2 linked regions of the Saccharomyces cerevisiae S288C genome follow. Changing the gene in region 2 together with the main gene of any one other region gives a genetic interaction. Each region holds a gene or a part of one and is shown on either strand. Other genes may lie near its edges.

What was found.
Region 1: of MLH3 (region 2) and ECM11, changing one suppresses a phenotype caused by changing the other (phenotypic suppression), as found in Saccharomyces cerevisiae (one study listed by BioGRID).

What each region holds. Positions count from the first base shown.
Region 1 is NC_001136.10:1,349,101-1,355,133, forward strand, and holds ECM11 (Ecm11p), read left to right. Parts: upstream 1-4,624; coding exon 4,625-5,533; downstream 5,534-6,033. Other genes in the region: SSN2 (Ssn2p), read right to left, coding at 1-838; YDR444W (putative hydrolase), read left to right, coding at 1,190-3,253; 40S ribosomal protein eS17 RPS17B, read right to left, coding at 5,729-6,033. UniProt on the Saccharomyces cerevisiae protein: May be involved in cell wall organization and biogenesis.
Region 2 is NC_001148.4:236,510-245,914, reverse strand, and holds MLH3 (mismatch repair protein MLH3), read left to right. Parts: upstream 1-4,417; coding exon 4,418-6,565; downstream 6,566-9,405. Other genes in the region: BEM4 (Bem4p), read left to right, coding at 1-1,596; YPL162C (uncharacterized protein), read left to right, coding at 1,888-2,709; SVS1 (Svs1p), read left to right, coding at 3,215-3,997; SET6 (Set6p), read left to right, coding at 6,838-7,959; ATG29 (Atg29p), read right to left, coding at 7,936-8,577; REV3 (DNA-directed DNA polymerase), read left to right, coding at 8,808-9,405. UniProt on the Saccharomyces cerevisiae protein: Involved in DNA mismatch repair (MMR), correcting insertion-deletion loops (IDLs) resulting from DNA replication, DNA damage or from recombination events between non-identical sequences during meiosis.

The DNA.
Region 1 (6,033 bases), on a different chromosome or scaffold from region 2:
CTGGTTGGGCGAAGATTAAATGCAGCGGCCATACTAGCTTCTTTGCTTCAAGTAAGGGAGTTAAATACGAAGCTATAGTAGGTGTGTGGCCGTTGAGATGTCCTAAGTCAGGAACAACAGCAACCCATTTCAAATTTTTTTTATTTTGTAAGTTTATACCATGAGATACACTTAACGTCGTCAAGAGAAGTTCTGTATGTTTTGGTGGCGTTATCAAGTATCCTTGCTTGGAAGCAGGGGCCAAATGCATCCTTATTCCAGATGGTGCTAAATAAAGCGCATGCTTTGAAAGGAAAGATTCTTCCAAATTTTCCTCCTTCATTGGTACTAATCCCATGTTCTTGGCACATAACGACACTGTGAGATCTCCGTTTACAAAAAGGTGTGGTTCTAGCTGTACGAGATAATTTGGCACTCCGCTTAATGATATGCAGGCATTCCCAAATTGTATTAGCTTATTGTGTGAACCTAATGCCAAATTAATGTAAATTTTCCTTCTTAAAGCTTTTAAAAAAAGAGCATAGTGTGGCGGTAAGTTTGGCTTTGAATAATCGGCAGTGAAAGTTCCGATTTTATCTGGGCTCACTGGTTTATGTTCTATCGCAGGAGGTGTCGGTACCGGATCATCATTTATACTGAAACACCATAAATCCCTTGAAAGCAGCGCAACTAGAGTCTTTGGATCCTGCTTCCGTAGCATGAATTCCATTTGGATAGACCATTGATCGTTTTGGGCTTTAGAAATGTACTGATGATAGTTGATCTTTTTGATTTTCTCCACTCTATAGAAGCTGGATAAAACATCCTCAAGTCTGTACGTGGAAGCGTCAGAACTCATACTACCTCCTCAGATCTTGATATCCAGCTTAAACGTTCTTAAAATATAGTTACACCTTACTTCAACAAAGTAATTTCCGATTTCACACCATTCGTCTTAAAGGGTTGTTGTAAGAGTGTACTACAATAAATACTACACTACTTGATCCGGCACTACCCGGTCCCTCCACCTGAAAAAATGTTTCAATTCTTCGCTTTGTTAAGCGCGAATATATCGATGCTATTTTCTAAGGATTGTTTATTCAGTATGATAAAACAATGAACAGCAGGAAATGCGGAGGAGAATCACTTACTCGGCTGTTATTCATCTTCTTATTATAAAAGAATTGCTCCATTTTGGTTCGATCCCTTAATGCCTTACAAAATCAACCGAATGAAAAATTCGCTCGAGATAAATGAAACCGGAGGTACCTTATTGGTTGATGAGCGGAAGAGATTAAGAATAGGTGAGTTATATCGCTACAAGTTTTCCGTGAACAAAGATGTAATTAAGGAACAAGGGCTAGATGTATCGCATCTATTCTTGAGGATCAAGAACGAGGAAAGCGCGCTTCTGCGACCGCTTTATTTGACGGGGCCATATTCTTTTTACATCGATGTTAGGCCGCATAACTATAATGAGAATCGCAAGTTTCCAGGGAAGGAAATTATTCCATTTGTTGAAAATCTAAAGCCGGACGAAAGATTTAAAGTAAAAATATTATTGAATGAGAATTCTAGAGTTGGCGACACTTCTCTTTATTCATGGACAATAGATATAATTTCGCAGTTGGCGGTAACCACAATTCCGAAGCTGGAATTTTCGTTTAGGATAGGGACTACAAGGAAGGTGGTCAAGAAATCGAATGGGCTCTTTAAGAGTATTGAAGGTGTCTCTTTAGAGATGTGGGATACTGAAACCCTTTGGGATTTACCACCAAAATTTCCAGAAAAGCCTGTACATCTCGTTATTATGACACATGGTATATTTTCTAATATCGGGTGTGATATGCTATATATGAAAGATAAAATTGAAGAAATGACGTTTCCTATGGATGAGTCTATTAATCCGAATATAATTGTTCGAGGTTTTATGGGCAACGTCGGGAAATCAGGTCACGGTATACATTGCTTGGGCGTTAGAGTTGGAAAGTATGTGCTTGAGACTGTTGATAAGTTGAATAAAAAGTACAAAGTAGACAGGATATCATTCATTGGCCATTCCCTAGGAGGGCCAACTCAATCCATGGCGGTGCGTTACATAAGTATTAAAAGACCAGATTTTTTTGATGCAGTTAAAGGTGTTAAACCCGTTAATTTTATTACGTTAGCTAGTCCTTTCATCGGTGTTATTGGCGACTTCCCCTTTTATTTGTCTGTTCCACTGGATATGGGCGCGCTTGGTTTGACAGGAAGGGACTTGAATTTAAAATATACACCGTTAACGTCCAAAGATGGGTTGTATGCAGACGATGAAGTGTACCCAGAACATTCCAAGTACATATTAGAAATTCTTCCACAGGCGCCGGCTAAAAAAGTATTTGAGTCTTTTAAGAGGAGAACGATATATGCCAATGTCATGGATGATGGTATTGTTCCATTACGAACTGCTGCACTTTTGTATCTGGATTGGCGAAGCATACACAAAGTCCAGAAAATTAGGAAAAAAAATAAGAACTCTCCAACTTCAAGCGAGTTTGTGTCCTCCGATAGCCCAGAGAGTAGTGGAGCATCATCACCTTCAAACGAAAATGGTAACAACGTCGGGGAGATTCCTGCAGAAAGTCCAAACAAAAAAGCGACGTTGCAGTGGACTTTACCTCAGGCCGTTATCCACGGAAGTAAAATAAATAAATATAAGAGAGGACAAACTAATGAAGCCAACTCAGATTCGGATAATGAACAAGGAGTATTTCTTGATGGTCAAAAGTTCGAACCTCCAAAAGAAGCCAATACTGTATTGTCTGCATTATCGGTATTGACAGCTGCCATACCAGATCAGGAGTATATCAAAAACCCGGCTGTAAGGAAAGATGAAGTCATTCATGATAAACTTTATCACCCGGAAGAATTACCTCCGCCGCATTATGAGAATAGGCCTATCGTTAAGAAGCTTATATATCCTAATGAGAGTGTCAACAGGATTCAAGAGCGCATTGCTAGAGAATGGCAAGAAACGATGACTTGGAGAAAAGTATTAGTGCAGATCCAGCCTGATTCCCATAACAATATCGTAGTAAGAAGAAGATTTGTTAATTTATACGGCTATGTTGCTGTGGAACACATGGTTGAGCACCATTTCGGATCCAAGGTTTGTAGCGAGCTGGCTGAAGATGCAAATGAGCCAAAAGATGAGCCAAACCAGTCATCGCAAGCGGACCGGTCGAATGAGTATAACGAGGGGGAAATATCAAAGGGCGCGGAGAATGCCACATGAGTTTGATGATTTATAATGTATACGTAAAAAAAAATATCATAGATGAAATAAAAGTTTCTTAAGAATATCACAATGACCACAATAAAGTGTGGATGTTGTTTAAAAAAAAGATAGCCCTGTAGGGGGCTCGAACCCCTAACCTTATGATTAAGAGTCATACGCGCTACCGATTGCGCCAACAAGGCTATTTCGTTGGAAAAACTAATTAATTTTGGAAGTAATAGGACATTAAACATGTTTGTTGCAATGAAACTTTAAAATATCATCTGTTTAGTTTTATTCATGTTACTTGTTGGAATAAAAATCAACTATCATCTACTAACTAGTATTTACGTTACTAGTATATTATCATATACGGTGTTAGAAGATGACGCAAATGATGAGAAATAGTCATCTAAATTAGTGGAAGCTGAAACGCAAGGATTGATAATGTAATAGGATCAATGAATATTAACATATAAAACGATGATAATAATATTTATAGAATTGTGTAGAATTGCAGATTCCCTTTTATGGATTCCTAAATCCTCGAGGAGAACTTCTAGTATATCTACATACCTAATATTATAGCCTTAATCACAATGGAATCCCAACAATTACATCAAAATCCACATTCTCTACATTACTAGTATATTATCATATGCGGTTTAAGAAAATGGTATAAAGATTAAGAAACAGTCATGAAAATTTAGTGAAGCTGAAATGCCAGTATTGATAATACGATAGAATAATGAATGACAAAGTATATAAGGAAGATGAAGTAACATTATTATGGAGAACTATCGACTCCCTTTTGTGAATTTCTATATCCTCAAGGAGAATTGCTTGTATACTATGTATATATAATATTATAACCCTTGACAACAATGGAATAATTAGTCCTTAAACGTTAGACTGGCTGGGACAGCACGACCTCTGTTGGCTAATTTTACTTTTCCCACAACCGTAGATCTTGATTTCATGACTGTTTTCGTGGTAATGTCCGAATGATACATATATAAGTTATATGCTTTCACTTTATAAGTATTAGCGTTTTTACTCACCATCCACTGCTTTGAGAAGATGTGGTCAGCAACCACGCAATACATCACATATTTTGGCACGGGTGATGTACCGATCTAATGGCTAAGCTTCCTTTTGGAAGCTGATAGAGATCCAGATTTGCATCTCTATCGCTATTGTCGTCATCGACACTGCTCACTTAGTGCTGCAGGTAAATTCCGTTTTTTTCCAAATTAATATTTATGAACGTTATGATGTCAAGTTTTTTCAAGAAGTAATTATCCGCGAAAAAAAGAATATAAAAAATACAAATGTGCATAGATCCTCACATAGTATACAACTAAAAAGCAAACAAAAGAACATCCTCAAATGACTGTTATAAAGACAGAACCAACAACAGAAGTGACATTATATTCTCCACCATCAAAAGAATCTTTAAGTAAAGATGACGCCCACAGAAAAAAACAAAATAATAAACCACCTTCGAGTATAAATAGCCGCTCAGGACCAAATAAGCATAAACTTGCCGCCAAAGCACCGGAAAAGAAAATCAATAACACAGATAAACAAGACCTCTCTGCCTTTTTATTAAATCCTTCCCTTATTGTTAAACCTTCTGAGAGCAAAAAAAAAGAAAATATTGTGGCCTATAATGATACACCAGGTATAAAAACAGAACATACAGCGTTTCAGCCGCTGACACCAATTTCGAAAAAAAGGGCCCTGAAAGAGAAAGCAGCATCAGAAAAATGTGATAGCTTTGATCTTTCCAGAGACGAGAAGCCTTATATTCAGAAAAAGTCAAAGACGCTTTCTTCCGTCACAGAGATTAATTCCTCAGAATATAAACTCTCACTAAATGGCGAAAATACATCATCCCCAGCTAAGGAAAAATCGCAAGAACCCATAGAAAATCCTGGAAGTTACCAAAAAACAAGAAATTACCTTTTTGAAAAGCCCGATCCTTTAGACACGTGCCTTCAGGACTACTCGAGTATGCTACCGTCAAATGTAGCAGAAGAAGATCAAGAATATTTTATCAGCGTAGCTGATTCGACATTGGAGGAGTGGACTAACAAGGGCCAGGAAATTATTGACCAACAGTTCCAGCTCTACCAAGAAATAATCAAGAAACGAATAGAACTAAGCTACAAATTTAAGGGTATTATTTCTGTAATCAATGATAGGGCAGATGCCCTAGAAGAACAGGGTCAACAACTAGAAGGAAAAATTAAGAAAGTTAAAACTTTGGCTAATGAAATTCTCAATATTATATAAACGCTTCATAAAGTTGATCAAAGGTGCTATATTCAGTAACAAAATGCTTATAATTAAGAGAATACATCCCTAATAATGAATCATATCTTTCATATTTTAGATGATATTGAAATTATTTAACTATACATAAGGAGAGTCCTCAATGAAATGGAGTAAAACAGACGACATGATAATAACTATATCAATTCATGCTTTTTAGTTTCTCTTTCTGTAACGTCTGTCTCTTTGAGCGGAAACGTTGATGACAGATAATGGCAACTTCAAACCCAAAGATTTAACCAAGTCAGAGGTTTGGTTGTCAACGTTCAAAACACCGTTAGAACGAGACAAGTCCAAAGCAGAGACTTCTGGGACGTATTGATCCTTTCTTTCTCTTTCTTCTTCTTGCAATTTGAAAGAAATACCTCTAACTGGACCCTTTTGGATTCTTTTCATCAAATGAGTAGTGTAACCAGCAATCTTGTTTCTCAATCTCTTGGATTGGATAGTTGCAATTTCAT
Region 2 (9,405 bases):
GATAATGATGATAATCGGGAAATTCTCTTGGATTCTGGAGGTAAAAAGCTTCTTAATTATTATATAGGCGGGGTTCTTCAGCTGGACGAAATTTCTTCTGACAAGAGTGAGGATAGCTTAGTGGATAAATTACAGATGCGGTCAGTTGTGCTACTAAGGAATTTTTGCATTGGAAATCTCAAGTATACAGAAAATTTGGCTCCCTTCATTAGAGGTCCATTATTTGTTTTGTTGAAAACCACACAATATAGCTATTTGTCATCTCCCGAAAAAGTTGTTTTAGGTTCAGATTTATTGAACGATATTTTAAAAGTCAATTACTCAAATGTTCAAATAAGCGATCTCTTTTTCTTAAGCCAGTACATCAAAAAAATCTCTTCAAATGTGCAAAATAAAGAATTGCAGGCAATGGAAGATGGAGCAGTCGAAGCATATTCAAATACTGAAACTCAGAAGTTCGCTGGCCAAGGAAATCAAGAGTACATCGAAAAAGAGGAAGAAGATGATGAGGAGGACGTTAATTGTGAATTGCTATTAAATCTGTCAACATGTCTTGAAACTATTGTAGCCAAGGATGAAACTATAAACTTTACCAATGAGGAGCAGCTTGTGCTAAGCATGCAAAAAAATTTAATATTGTCCTTAGTTTGCTTAGAATCAAAAACCTTCAATAATAAGCTAATTGTAATGAGAAGACTCATATCGTGCGCAGGCAACATCTCCGCCAACCTAACAAACTCTAACAAACGAGAGCAATCATTATGTATCGAAACTATTAAGAGTTCCGCAAGTAGTTATGCCCTAGCCGCAGCTTTGATGATATTATGTAACTCAGTTGCATCCAAAAGTGACGCTGTCGCGCTACTGAAGCTCATATCTCTTAGTGAATTGATTCAAGTTGGTAGCTTGCTACAAGACCCACTACAATATCAAGGATTCCTAGATTTACTGAGGAAGCTGTTAAATCTGGAAAATACCATGTGGCTAGATATCAAGGACCTCTTCACCCTATTTCAGATTATGAGAAGATGTCACGAGCAAACTAAATATTATAACAACCTGAGATCGTTATTAACAAATTTATTAAACAAAACTTTAACGGTGCTTCCAAGTTCAAAAATACACAATTCAATAAGCAGTGATCCAACAATTATCTCTTTTATAGCAGAGCATGGAACGTTAACGTCCTGTATTGCGATGGATAAGCTGCTTGTGTCCAAGAAAGCCCTTCCTAAAGAAGCTATTACATCCCTATGGGATTCGATCTTCAAATTCCAAAATTTAGGTCAAGCAGAACAACTAAGCATCTCAGATTTATTTCATATCACAAAAACGGTTGGAATTTATTTAAAAGATTCAAGTGTAACAGCTGACGTGAATCCGATTGAAAATATACTATTCAAGGATTACATTCAAAAGTTAACCCTGATATTAGAGACCATACTTTCATTTAAAGAAAATAAAGATAAGGGTAGCGAGAGTTGTTTCAACAATGGGAAATTTATAGCGGGCATAATACTAAACATTGTGAAAAATACGAAATGCTTAACGCCAGAGGAACAAAATTTAGAAGCGCTTGCAAAATCGTTCTTTTAGACACGTAATCGCCTTACCTACGAGGGGAGAAAACGTTCCCTCTGCATGTATATATATATATATATATATAAATATTAAATCTTGAATATTGTTGGATTAAGCATGTGCTTGACAAATGGTGTATGGGTTTGTAGACGATGAGAGTGGAAGGGAGATTAAAAGTTTATTGCAGATGCGAACATCTGCACAAAAGTACTTGAATGTACTAAGCAGAAAAAGTTCTAATACATATTAGCAGGAGGCCCAACAGTCACACAAGTTCAGCAGAACTGCCAATTAATCGAAAAGAATATGTATGTTTCTAATGGGAAAGACACTTGCCAGTTGTTGGGGCCCGTGTCTCTTTTTGTCCAGACATTGATGGGTATGACAGCCGTGATTGTGTTATTGGTGAAAAGAAACTATGAGCATCCAAGGAGAAAAATGATTGTGTGGAGTTATGACATTGGAAAACAAATCATCGGCTCTCTTGGAATCCATTTTTTGAATCTAGGCATCAGCATACTGAAGAAAAGACGAAGGTCACTCTTCGCAATCACTGCAAAAGGCAATGATGATGAGGATCAATGCGATTGGTATTTTCTTAACTTACTCCTGGATACTACTGTTGGGATTCCCATTCTTTGGTTGTGCTTATACATAATTGAAAAAGTGCTAAAATCCTTACACTTCCAAAACATTGAAAGTGGTAATTATTTTCCATCTAAAACCGTTGGGAGCCACCCCAGAAAACCCTTATTCTCTGCCTTCGTGAAACAGCTGCTTATATTCATTGTTGGGCTGGGCGTGATGAAGTTCTGCGTGTTTCTAATACTAAACTACTTAGAAGACTTGGCATACTGGTTCGCCGATCTTATCCTTGGCTGGTCAGATTCATGGCCAAACTTTCAAGTTTTTCTGGTCATGTTTGTCTTTCCTATCTTACTGAATTGCTTCCAGTACTTTTGTGTCGACAATGTCATCAGGTTACATTCTGAGAGCCTAACGATAACCAATGCAGAGAATTTTGAAACGAACACATTCCTAAATGACGAAATTCCTGATTTATCGGAAGTCTCAAATGAAGTGCCTAACAAGGATAACAACATTTCCAGCTATGGTAGCATAATATAGTATTCCAAGGATAAGGAAAGCATGCACTGTTTATTTCCTTTCCTTGCTTAATTGATTTTTTTTAAAGGGAACAAACATTTTGATTTCAATTTCCACAAGCCTAGACTCTTCAACACATAATCTGTGGGTTATTGTTTGGGAAAGCATTCTCCGCTAGAAGAATGAAACTGGCGCTCAGGTTTGATTCTATAACTACGGCAGTTTTTCCTATTCTATTTTCGTTTTTTGATTTTCCCGCCGCATTGGATATTCAATTCGCGACGCTAATAATTGGCATTTCGTGTTCTTAAGTAATTTCGTGTTTCAAATAACCGTAAACAGAGAAAGACCCAAGAATTTCAGATGGCTTAGAAGAGGTAGACATTAAATCAATCTGTATGTGATGGAGAGGGAGTGTATTTAAAAGACGTAAGAAAATGAATTATCAAGATCCGTTATGGCCATCTAGTCTCTTTCTTGTACACTAGTTGTCTAACACAACCAACAAATTAGAATATATATCGCAATGATTTTCAAAATATTGTGTAGTTTACTACTGGTAACCTCCAACTTCGCTTCTGCCTTATATGTCAATGAAACTACGAGCTATACACCATACACGAAGACATTAACTCCAACATACTCTGTTTCACCTCAAGAGACAACATTAACGTACAGCGATGAAACAACCACCTTCTACATAACATCTACTTTTTACTCTACCTACTGGTTCACTACCTCCCAATCAGCTGCTATTATTAGTACACCTACTGCAAGTACACCTACTGCAAGCACGCCTAGCCTAACTACGTCCACAAATGAATACACCACCACCTATTCTGACACAGACACCACCTACACGTCTACTCTGACCTCTACTTACATAATAACTCTATCTACGGAATCCGCCAACGAGAAGGCTGAACAGATTTCCACGAGCGTCACAGAAATTGCTTCTACAGTAACCGAATCGGGCAGTACATACACCTCTACTTTGACCTCAACCTTATTGGTTACTGTATATAATTCCCAAGCTAGTAATACAATAGCGACATCCACAGCTGGGGACGCCGCCTCCAATGTTGATGCCTTAGAAAAGTTAGTCTCTGCTGAACATCAATCTCAGATGATTCAAACCACATCCGCCGATGAACAGTACTGTAGTGCGTCTACCAAGTATGTTACAGTTACAGCTGCTGCAGTTACCGAAGTGGTTACTACTACGGCGGAGCCTGTTGTTAAATACGTTACTATAACTGCCGATGCTAGTAATGTTACAGGTTCTGCTAACAACGGTACCCACATTTAATGCGTGACGTTGAATCGAGAAAAAAAGCTACTTTTAACGAAACCTTTACTAGTTATCCTATATGGGATCACTAGTATTTTTTGATTTACGATTCAATAAATAGACTAGAGACAACTTTCATATCATTCCTTAAAAAATACATAAAGCGCAAATTCAACCCCATTGATACATATATAAGTAGTTCTATTATGACTTTCAAGAACAATAGTAGCTTTTCTAAATAATCAATAAGTAGCACAAAATCTGTCTGTTTGTACGCTTATATTTAGTTTGCGTTTATTTGCGAGCGCCACGAGAAGGGGCAGGAAAAAAAGATCAATAGTTTGCAATAAACATCGAATGATGATTTCAACCACCGATACATAAACCAGCGAGGCTTTCAAGGAAGAATGAACGTGAACTCGTCAACTCAAAAAGAAAATGAGCCAGCATATTAGGAAATTAGATTCTGATGTTTCTGAAAGACTTAAATCTCAGGCATGCACGGTATCGCTAGCATCAGCGGTTAGAGAAATAGTTCAAAATTCTGTAGATGCACACGCTACCACTATCGACGTCATGATCGACCTCCCTAATTTGAGCTTTGCAGTTTACGATGATGGTATTGGTTTGACTCGAAGTGACCTAAATATATTGGCCACACAAAATTATACTTCCAAAATACGAAAGATGAATGATTTAGTAACGATGAAAACCTACGGTTACAGAGGAGACGCCCTATATAGCATTTCTAATGTCTCTAATCTGTTTGTTTGTTCCAAGAAAAAGGATTACAACTCTGCATGGATGAGAAAATTTCCATCCAAAAGCGTCATGTTGAGTGAGAATACCATACTCCCAATAGATCCTTTTTGGAAAATTTGTCCTTGGAGCCGAACAAAGTCTGGTACTGTTGTTATTGTTGAAGATATGCTGTATAATTTACCTGTCCGGCGCAGAATACTAAAGGAAGAACCCCCTTTCAAGACTTTTAACACAATAAAGGCAGATATGCTACAGATACTGGTAATGCACCCGATGATTTCACTCAACGTACAATATACAGACAAACTCAGAATCAATACAGAAGTTCTTTTCCGCTCAAAGAACATAACTGAGGGGTTAACAAAGCACCAGCAAATGTCTCAAGTACTGAGAAATGTGTTTGGGGCAATAATACCACCGGATATGCTTAAGAAAGTTTCCTTGAAGTTTAATGAATATCAGATTGAAGGGATCATATCGAAGATGCCCGTTGGATTGAAGGATCTTCAATTTATATATATCAATGGCAGACGTTATGCGGACAGCGCCTTTCAAGGATACGTCGATTCTTTATTCCAAGCACAAGATTTCGGGGAGAAAGGCATGAGTTTACTCAAAACTAAAAGCGTGGGAAAACCGTATCGATCACATCCCGTCTTCATCCTTGATGTTCGGTGCCCCCAAACTATCGATGACCTGTTACAAGATCCAGCAAAGAAAATTGTTAAGCCTTCCCATATACGTACCATTGAACCATTGATCGTTAAGACCATTCGCTCCTTTCTGACATTTCAAGGATACTTAACGCCTGATAAATCAGATTCATCTTTCGAAATAGTCAATTGTTCACAGAAGACGGCAACATTGCCTGATAGTCGAATCCAAATCAGTAAACGTAATCAAGTATTAAATTCAAAAATGAAGATTGCACGCATTAATTCATACATAGGAAAACCCGCTGTCAATGGATGTAGAATAAACAATAGTACAATAAACTACGAAAAAATCAAGAATATAAGAATCGACGGTCAGAAATCAAGGTTACGGAATAAACTCTCTTCCAGGCCCTACGATAGTGGTTTTACAGAAGATTATGACAGTATAGGAAAAACCATAACAGATTTTTCAATATCAAGATCTGTCCTGGCAAAATATGAAGTGATTAATCAAGTAGATAAAAAATTTATTCTCATACGTTGTTTAGACCAATCTATTCATAATTGCCCACTATTAGTTCTAGTTGATCAACATGCTTGCGATGAGAGGATAAGACTAGAAGAGCTATTTTATAGCCTGTTGACAGAAGTTGTAACCGGAACTTTTGTTGCACGAGACCTCAAGGATTGTTGCATTGAAGTTGATCGTACTGAGGCTGACTTATTTAAGCATTATCAAAGTGAATTTAAAAAGTGGGGAATTGGCTATGAAACAATTGAGGGAACAATGGAAACCTCACTTTTGGAAATTAAAACACTGCCTGAGATGTTAACTTCCAAATATAACGGGGATAAAGACTACTTAAAAATGGTCTTGCTGCAACATGCTCATGACCTGAAGGATTTCAAAAAACTTCCAATGGATTTATCCCATTTCGAAAACTACACTTCGGTTGATAAATTATATTGGTGGAAGTACTCAAGCTGCGTTCCAACGGTCTTTCATGAAATTCTTAACAGCAAGGCATGCAGATCTGCTGTTATGTTTGGAGATGAATTAACCCGGCAAGAGTGCATAATTTTAATTAGCAAGCTCTCGCGATGCCATAACCCATTCGAATGCGCCCACGGGAGACCTTCTATGGTACCCATTGCAGAATTGAAGTAAAGAGAACCTTAATCCTGGAACAAGGTTTGTCGCCTGCATTTTAAATTGCGCGGATATGCAAAACAGAAGATTACCTCATCACGTTGTCAAAACCTGGAAAAATTTAAAAAACAAAAACAAAAAAGAAACGTGCGATACAATACTGCTCCACTGTTGCATTACCGTTTTATGTATCTCTGATATTATAAATGTAGCCCTAGATTTATATGAATATATATATATATATATATACCATTTATATATGCAAACACAAAATAACCTAAAATTTAAAAATGACTATTGATGGAGACGTACATGAAATTTCCCCATTTTTCCAGGTTAGGCAAACTAAATGGGGCGGTAGGGCTTGTTTCAGTAATGGTAATATTCCTAAAGGGACAACAGTCTTGCAAGTCAGTAATTTTACAGGAACATCTATTTCCTATGAGTTCAGGAAGGAAGTTTGTCACAATTGTTTCGCATACGCTAATGCGAAAACTATGAAGTACAAACTAAACTACGATTACCTGAGAGATTTGGTTTGTAATGCACACTACCAAATTAACCCTAAGAAGTTTCTGGGCGCTGGACTGTGGTTCTGTTCAGAACATTGCAGAACTTCTTATCTTCAAATACCAAATATCATTGAATTAATTGAATGTTATGAGATATTACTGCATCATTTTCCAAGCATGCTGAAAAGATATAATTATACCTCTGAACAGGAGGAAAAATTAAACTCTATCTTAATTTCGGAAAATGTCATACAGTCTTCATGGGATGAGATTGAAAGTAAATGGATACCGCGCATCAACAACATGAAATCTGCGAAGAGAATAAATCAATTACCACCCACTTGCGAAGATGAATATTGCTGCATTAGGTTTGTGTGCGAGAGTTTGTTTAATCTTAAATATATGGATCCTCAGTGCATAACATACCGAGCTTTCAATATGTTACAATCGAATGAGCTTAGCAAAATATCTAAATTTCCTGTCTTACTGCACTTTCAAAAATTAGTATTTCAAACACTCTATATTCTATTACCTTCACATTTGCATAGAATGCTCTCCATACCGCTATTGAGACATATATTAGGTACTGAATATGGGAATGCTTTTGGTTTATGGCAAGAGGGCGAAGCCTCAGACAGCAGAGAATATTTTGGATACTGGGTATTTCCAGAAGCCTCCTATTTCAACCACTCTTGTAACCCCAATATAACGAAATATCGTAAAGGTAATTCAATGCTATTCACTATGAATAGAGATATAAAAAAGGATGAGCAGATCTGTATCGATTATTCCGGGGTACTGGACTTACCAACAGTAAAACGCCGGGCCTTTTTGGCCGACAGTTGGTTTTTTGATTGTGCTTGTGAAAGATGTAAATCAGAATTGCAATCTGTCCATTAGCGCTTCTTCCAACGCAGATTTACTAACACTTAAGCTCGAAGATAAATCGTCATCTGAACTACCGCACTCCATTTCTTTATTAATACCATCCTTATCCAATTTGTCATTAGGCTTATTCTCACTATCCGATGTTTTCTTGTGAATGTTCAAAATTTTGGAAGTTTGCAAATGTTGTAACGCCTCATTTGTTACTTCTGTCTCAACTTCTTCAGAATCCTGTCTTTCCGTGGTCAGTGGGCTTGCGGATACATTTAATAGATTATCATTTTGTAAAGTAGGGGTATATTTATGTATTAAATCAGACATCCCTTCATTCACTTGATCATTTGAATACTTCTCAAGATCTCTTTTTTTCTCCAATTGTAGTTGTAAAAGCTCTAAGTGTTCAGCAAATAATTTATATGTTCTCTTTTTAAGAAAAAATTCAGGCGTTTCAAATATTTTTGATAAATTCTGCCAATCTATTTGATCTTGTGAATAATTCAAATTTGATACCATTGTCCAAAGCTGTCGCTCCTTTGTTCCATTCCACTCAAATTTGGGAGGATCCAAGAATCCCTGTGGTCTCCTACCCTTAACTTTGATATATACAACTGTGTTTGTACTATTCATAATCATGAAAGTCAAGTAGGAAAATGCACAGCAGTACAATTATGTATGTCTCTTCTTGATAAGTATTCACTAACACCCCTTTATTTTCACCTTGAATCATTTTTTTGACGAGTGCAGTGCGTCTAGAAATAGTGTACTTGAAGAAAAAAGCCATCTCTGTAATAGAAGCACAAAACAAGAGAAAGTATTTGAGTCAATACAAAACTACAAGTTGTGGCGAAATAAAATGTTTGGAAATGTCGAGGGAGTCGAACGACACAATACAGAGCGATACGGTTAGATCATCCTCTAAATCAGACTATTTTAGAATCCAGCTAAATAATCAAGACTACTATATGTCAAAACCCACCTTTTTGGACCCATCGCACGGTGAAAGCCTGCCCTTAAACCAGTTTTCACAGGTCCCAAACATCAGGGTGTTTGGTGCTTTACCCACAGGGCATCAAGTATTGTGCCACGTCCATGGCATTCTACCTTACATGTTCATCAAGTATGATGGACAAATAACTGACACGAGTACATTGAGACACCAAAGATGTGCCCAAGTTCATAAAACGCTGGAAGTAAAAATTAGGGCATCCTTTAAAAGGAAAAAAGATGATAAACACGATTTAGCCGGCGACAAACTTGGAAATCTCAATTTTGTCGCTGATGTCTCTGTTGTAAAGGGTATACCATTTTATGGTTACCACGTTGGCTGGAATCTGTTTTACAAAATTTCTTTGCTTAATCCTTCTTGTCTAAGTAGGATTTCGGAATTGATTAGAGATGGCAAGATTTTCGGAAAGAAATTCGAAATTTATGAATCACATATTCCTTACTTGCTACAATGGA